2 linked regions of the Stegostoma tigrinum genome follow. The protein of the gene in region 2 interacts with the protein of the main gene of each other region in a pairwise test. Links are inferred from orthologs where the notes say so. Each region holds a gene or a part of one and is shown on either strand. Other genes may lie near its edges.

Region 1 (3,753 bases), on a different chromosome or scaffold from region 2:
TGCGAGACACACAGTCGAGGGCCTTTTCATTCTCTGCAGAGAAGTTGTGGTCCTTGAAAAATGAGGACATCTAGGATGTCCGGAAGTGGAATGCCTCTTCTCGGGAGTAGATGTAGCAGAGGCGAAGGAATTGAGATTAGGGGATAGCCTTTTCGCAGGAAGGTGGGTGAGAAGTGGTGTATTCTAGTTAGCTGTGGGAGTTGGTAAAGAATCTTACATATTAACTTTTTCATTCTATATAAAGATCTATCGAATACTTGCGTTTTAATTTCAGATTTCCATTATCTGCAGTACTTTGCTCTTGTTCATGTATTTGGACATGATGTCTGACAAATTTCCAATCGAAGAAGCCACAGAAATCCACAGCAGGGTGTGTGACTGCATAGAAGATTGGATTTAAATGATGGGAATCAGTTAACTTCCACAACATTATTAGAACAGTGATAATAGGAACTGCAGATGCTGGAGAATCCGAGATAAGGTGTGGAGCTGGAGGAACACAGCAGGCAAAGCAGCATTTCCTGCTCCACACATTATTAAAACAGTATCAAGTGGTACTTCACGAGGATTGGACCAAGATTACAAACAATGAACATGAATAACAAACATGAAATCTACAGTCTTCAGTACTTCCAGTATTTTGATTTTATTTTAGCTCTGCAGCATCCAAAGTTCTATCAAAACTCTAAGTCTGTAAAATTAGCTTGCAGTGAAATTGTGAGAACATAGACAGTAAAGGATTATTTAGAAATCAGAAAATATAATGGAATTTAAATAAGGTCTACACTTGGATAAGCAAATAAAGTTCTGCGTACTGGACTGATACCAGCATAAAACAAACTAAACTGGCAGCAGGAAAATCATTTAAGAACTGTGAATGACTGACTTAATACTATCTATGGAATAATGCTGCTAAAAATATACCAAAAATTCTGAAGCAAAAAAAAACACTGACCAGAGTACAAGAGATTTTGCTACGCCAGTTCAATTGTGATCAACCTGCTCAAAACTGGAGAATGGTTGGAGAGTAAACAGACTAACTCAAAACATAGAAGCCCAAGCTTTACAGCTTATGAAGACGACTGATAAGCACAATTCCAGGGCCAACTCCAAATGGATTCAACAACCTCCAGTCTCAATATCAGCAATATCACAACTGATAGACTGCAGGGCAGGGATGCCTTCACTAGTTACTTGGATGTTAGTGTTTTGAAGTTCCAAGCAAAATGCATGTTTTATCACACTATGTGAAGTATTTAATAGAATATTCACAAAAATTTGTATTAAATTCAGGAAACATGCATGGCCGTAAAATTATCTCTTTTCACAGAATTTAAGTTCTAAGTCCAGTTTCTCTCGAGTGATACATTTTGCATTTACGTGCTAAAAGCGGCCGCACTATAACAATATAAGACAAAATTTAAGTCAAGTCTAGCTTTCATTACAAGGCATCAGACTGATACTAATAGTTTGCAGTACAATCTTTTATCCTGTTTTACTATTTCCATAACCAGAAAGTTAATTGGCTATTCGTCAAAACAAAAAATCTTCCACCTTTCAAAAAATCCACTCACGCTGGAGAAGACTGATCTTATTCATGTGGATCATTTTAATGGCAGATAAGATTGTGTAACCTAAAAATCTGTTAATATTTTAGGTTCAAAGATTTTTGAAAGAAATAGTAATATTTCTAAACAGCATCTACTCAACGCCGGCCGAGGAGGATGGGAGAGAACAAAACTCTGTCAAAACATAAAAATCAGACCAACTACTCGATCACAAGACTTCTCTGCAACTAACTGGAAAGCTTTAATTCAACACGCAAACCCTTAGTACACCCCGGCACCACAGTTAAATACTTCAATCGGGGGAAGAATTAAAACAAAATGAAATACAGATTTTCAAAACCCTATATAAAAGAAAAATTGCGCGTTTGTGTAAATCAGGATCCTCTTCCGCCGCCCCCACCCCCTGCATGTTTACAATACCCAGATGCTCCTTTAGAGCAGCCAATAACACGTTGAGTCTAAGTAAAATGCTTCTTATAAAACATCATAGTAACTGTCCTTCAGTTAATGGTCGCACAGAGACATTACTGTGGAAGAAAAGCTTGCCAACTCGAACACTGTTGTTCAGCGACTCTAGGCCTATCCTGGGCCTCGGGATCCCCGCCTTCTCTGCCCCGGAGCCGGAGAGAAAGTTTTCCGGCCCCCGGATCGGGCCTCACTTACCACAGCTTGGCGTCGATCTTTCTCAGAGAGTCCGGGAGATGGCTCTCAGCTGCTCTGATCACCCCAGACCCCTGGACTCTCCGAGCCGCATCTGAGCTGCCGGACGTGGCCGTGCTGCTTCAATCGTTCACCCTCCCGGATTCCCCCGTCACCCAGATCCCCGTTTTTTTTTAAGGACACAACATGGCGGCTCCCAGGACGCATGCGCCCTGTATCCTCACTCCCCCCAAACTCGGCGGACGGTTCTGAACGGATTCGGCAATCTCCGGTCAGAGCCCGAGCCGCTCCGGCAAACCCACGTCTAGGCACCCAAAACCTTTTTGCAAATGCTTTCGTCCGCACGAGCGACTTGTATCAATTCGCCCTACTCGTTTCTCACACTTGTATTTTGTCCACCCGACTGATTCGTTACAATATGACACAACCACAACACAGCCTCAGCATCTGTGAAAATTTACAGCGCAGCAAGCGGTCCGTGGTGTCCAGCAGTGGGTTTTCACCGGACCCTGGCCAGTTCCTTCATCGCTCGCTGTTTTCATTTGTTTTGTTTTGTTTTGATTTCATTTCGCTGGCATCTGCAGGATTTTACTTCTGCTTTCAAATAATCTTCGGTGCCTGCGTTTCAGTCTGTATTTAAAGCAGTAAATTACAAATCCTACGCCGTCACTGTATACAAACTTGTTTTTCCAAACTTCTTCAGCTCTTGATCCTAATTAAGCAGTGGTAATTAACTTCATACAAACCGTGAGAGTAAATAGGATTCTGCCCTTAATCTTTTCAGAGGTGCATGCAAGAAAGAAACTACAGTACTGCATAACGGCAATCGCTTGAGTTCAGCTCCAACAACACTGGAAACTTAACACCAACCAGAACAAAGCAGCCCACTTGACTGGCACCACAGCCACAAACATCGCTCTTTTTACCCACCGGATGCTCAGTTGCAGCAGAATATATCGAGGATGCACTGCATGTTCACCAAGACTGCATAGACAGTACCTCCCATATTAGTTCAAAAACTGAGCTAACGTTCTGGAGACAAAAACAAAGTTGCTGGAAATGTCAGCAGGTCTGGCAGCATCTGAAGGAGAAAACAGAGTTAACCTTTCATGTCCAGTGACCTTTCCTCAGATCTAATGTTCTGGGGACCAAGGTTTGAATCCCACCATGGCAGATTGTGGAGATAATGGGCACTCCAGATGCTGGAGAATCCGAGACAACAAAGTGTGGAGCTGGATGAACACGGCAGTACAAGCACAAAAGCTGACGTTTCAGGTCTAGATCCTTCATCAGAAAAGGGGGATGGGGAGAGGGTTCTGAAATAAATAGGTAGAGAGGGGAAGGTGGATCAAAGATGGACAGAGGAGAAGATAGGCGGAGAGGAGACGGACAAGTTAAAGGGGCAGGGATGGAGCCTGTAGAGGTGAGTGTAGGTGGGGAGGGGATAGATCAGTCTGGGGAGGATGGACAGGTCAAAGGTGAGGTTAGTCGGTAGGAAATGGGGATGCAGCTTGAGGTGGGAGCA
Region 2 (3,753 bases):
CTGTAATTATAGCAAGTTTTCGGAAATTTTATTTCATTAGAATCATATTTTAATTTATATAATTTTGTATCATATTTGTCAGCATATTTATTATGGAATAATATTTGCTTTACATAATCTATTTATGATGTATTTTGTATAATCTTACATATGAAATATTTTATGTAATCATAGATACTACTTATTTTAATAGAGTCAGAAGTCATACGACACCAGATTATTGTCCAGAGATAGTAGGAACTGCAGATGCTGGAGAATGGCCCAACAGGTTTATTTGAAATCGCAAGCTTTCGGAGCAGCGCTGGTGGATTATAATCTGATGTCGTGTGACTCCACACCGTTATTTTATAGAATCCTGTATGATATATTTTATAAGTCTATATATGCATGGAAGAGACATACTAGACTCGAAACGTTGACTATTTTTCGCTCTCTGCCTGATCTGCTGAGTATCTCCAGCACTTTCTGTTTTTATTACAGTTTCAAGGTTTGAGAATACTTGCTCCTCTCACACTTGAAGATGGAGGTTGAACAAGACTTTTCGTTTCACAGCTATGAGAATCACAGTGAGCTATAAGCTTTCTTTGTTACTTCGCGGGAACCGTTTGCTTGCGGAAGCGTTGTGAGTAAAGTGAAAACATCGTCGAGGCGAGGCATAGTCAATAGACTGTTCCCAATCACCACAGGCACCAACCTAACAGCAGCCCTTCCTTTTCGAAACAGAGATCTGGTTTAAATACAACTGATCCGCGGTTAATTACAAGAAGGTTGCAAGTTATAAATAATCTGGTTATTGCTGGTAAGATCCGGGCAGATAGTCTTTCAGTCAAAGGCAGAAGTCACATGGAGGGAGGTTACTGTAAATCACAACGTAGCTCTGCGATGTTATCACCGGCTGCACCGAGTGAATTATTGGCCTGTCATTCACCACCAAGAGCTGAAGCTAACCCCTCCAGGCCCTGGGAAAAAAATCCACGTGGAGAACCCGGGGATTTATGAGGGGAGTCACGGCCATCACTCACAGCCTAGCTACTAACCCATCAGCTAGCTCCGTCCATGGGTCACTGAGGCCGTTTGAGAACTCAGAAATGCCTGCAAGTGTCCGAAAGTCAGGGGGCGGAGGGTTCGAGGCTCCAGGCAGAGACGCTGACCAAAAGAGAGGTTTACTTCATTATAAAGTGGGTGGGTGTGTGTGCGCGCGTTTTGTTCACAGGTATTTGCAGTTTAGAAATTGACAGGGTTAACGAGGGTGCTAATGAGTGACAGTGATGCTTTATTGACCCAATTCCGTGGGATCTTTCTTTCCCCTCCCTCTGTGTCTCCGCTTTCTGCTCCTGTGATGAAACTGAGCCCGAATCAAAACCCACACACACAAAAACTCAAGTTACACTTTTGTCAATTATTGCACACTCTAAGGCCCGAAAGTAAAAACGCGATTATTTTCTGTTTGAGTTTCAGCGTCATTTAAGTTTGAGTTCGTCAAGTTTGACGAGAGTGTGGGCTCAAACTGAGGAAAATCTCAGGTATTCGTGGATTTTAATGTGAAACTCCAAACGCTACCCCCACCCTAACAATTAATGAACTATTGTCTCTCTCTCTCTGTCTCTCTCTCTCTCTCTACTGACTAGCAGATTTGTTCCAGTTTTCTAATTTCTCCTTAAATTCCACCCAGACCCGAGTTGCCAACCTATTCAGTGAAATGAATGATGTGAATAATACGGTTTTCACAATGGAATAATTAATTTGCTGAGACTATTAAAACAAGGGAGAATGATGAAGTGACTTGAATGCGAGCCTCGGAAGGGACTCATTGTTTGTCCTTTAATGAGCTTTTTGGTAAATGGCGGGGAAATATTGCCCTGCTCTCTGTAATATGATCGAGGTAAAAGTGTATTAAGAGTCGAAATCCCCCAGTGCAATGCGTTCGGAAAAGGCTCCCGCCCAGTATTGGCGAGGGTTTGAGTGTTTGCTTCAGTTCATAGATGATTAGAGTCCACACCACACACACACACACACACACACACACAAAATACCATGATATGGGCAGGTAGATTCTAATGAGCTGCCGAGTGATAAATTTCATAATTATTCTACCCACTGCTAACAGAAAATTCATCAGTCAAGGCAAATTAGTTCAGATTCATTAGAATAAGAAATCTAACGGGCACATATACTTTATTAGTTTACACCAATAGGTTTAATTAGCTACATATTTCACAGCTACAGTGCTGTTTCAGCCTGCTCTTAAGGAAGGGACTGCTTTATGTCTTTTATTTACAGTAACAAGCTATCAGGGCCCACGTTAACCCCGTCATTAATTCTGGAAACACGAGATAGGCTTGCTTTATCAACCAGAGACCCGTCAGGTCTTCGCTCAGTCTCTGAACTGGGCAAGTGTTATTTTCTCCTTCTCACACACCTTCGACCCTTCTATCCCTCCCAAATTAATTCTGCTGGCTAAACAAACACAGAGCGAAACAAGACAAACTCCAAAAACAGACACAAAGGACAACAAAACGCGCCAATTTTGTCAATAGTTTTTACAACAACATTAGCCCTTAAGGATTCGCCGCGCAGCTGTTCTGCGCTCTCAGTATGATCTGGATTCTGACGAGTTCATATATTTAATACTCTTACTAGTTGCAACTATGTCGTTTTAAGCCAATCAAATAGTAATTTAATGCAGGCTTTCATTTTCAAAGAATCTACTTACTTGTGTTTGCGAGTAATCTTCCTCAAAGTACCTCAGAGTCCGTCACACATCTTCAGCAGCAAATGACTAGCCTCACAATTTTCGCACTTGCTGGAGGGAGTGGCTGAAGAGTTGGCCCCTCCTGCTGGGAAGAGCTGGAACTTCACTGCTGATCATCAACTGGCTTCATAAGTTGCCAGAACTGACAATAGGCTACACTTGAACTGAACCAAAACACCGAGAAGGCTTAAGATATCAAGTTATGTTAAAAAAAGTATTCATTGAATGGCCTTATAATGTACAGATTCCAACTAGAATAGTGCCTTTTTAAAAAGCCTGCTTTCCATAAAAGTTTTTTGCAACTAGAGTGGGCTGTGAACATGTTTTTTGCACATTCATATCCAATGCCAGTAAAAAGATGCCTACCTTGTCATTTTAATGTCAGCCCTTGTTCAGGCGTAGTACTCCAAGATTTGGTGCTAAAGAAAGATGACTGTCCAGAGCCCGACTGAAAGTGTGTTTCACTCGGATTAGATGTCAAACCAAGCAGTTGGCTGTTCTTTCAGGTGGCAATTTAACACAATCTAATTTCCAAGAAGGGCTGGAGAATTTTCTGCTTTGTCATGGTATTATTTATTCCTCAGCTAATATTACACAAGGAAATGAATTATCCGAACATTACAAAGTCATGTGGATAGGTACATGAATGAGGAGGATTTAGAGGGATGTGGGCCAAATGCTGGCAAATGGGGCTAGATTAATTTAGGATGTCTGGCTGGCATGGATGAGTTGGACTGAAGGATCTGTTTCCATACTGTACATCTCTGTGGCTCTGTGGTCGTGATCAGTGAGCTGGTTGTGAGTGCTTGCTCTGCCAAATTTGGCAGCTTCAAGTTCTAAAGTACAATGATGTCTTCATTTGAAAAGTAGCTAATTGCTTATAATGTGGCATTTCAAGATCATAAAAACTGATACGTAAGTTCAAAGTTGGTGTTTTTTAACTAAATAGAAGGAGTTAGTCATAGGACTCGCAAACACCTTTAAACTGGATTTACATAGTG

What was found. The genes of interacting proteins can lie anywhere in the genome.
Region 1: the proteins of lmo4 (region 2) and mothers against decapentaplegic homolog 4 interact in binary tests that used the Homo sapiens proteins (3 or more experiments, as listed by UniProt). The link is inferred for Stegostoma tigrinum from reciprocal best matches to the Homo sapiens genes LMO4 and SMAD4.

What each region holds. Positions count from the first base shown.
Region 1 is NC_081354.1:158,000,420-158,004,172, forward strand, and holds the start of mothers against decapentaplegic homolog 4, read right to left. Parts: upstream 2,450-3,753; 5' UTR 2,232-2,449; intron 1-2,231. UniProt on the Homo sapiens protein: In muscle physiology, plays a central role in the balance between atrophy and hypertrophy. When recruited by MSTN, promotes atrophy response via phosphorylated SMAD2/4.
Region 2 is NC_081361.1:90,465,238-90,468,990, forward strand, and holds the start of lmo4 (LIM domain transcription factor LMO4), read right to left. Parts: upstream 2,805-3,753; 5' UTR 2,714-2,804; intron 1-2,713. UniProt on the Homo sapiens protein: Transcription cofactor. Plays a role in establishing motor neuron identity, in concert with MNX1, acting, at least in part, to disrupt LDB1-LHX3 complexes thereby negatively modulating interneuron genes in motor neurons.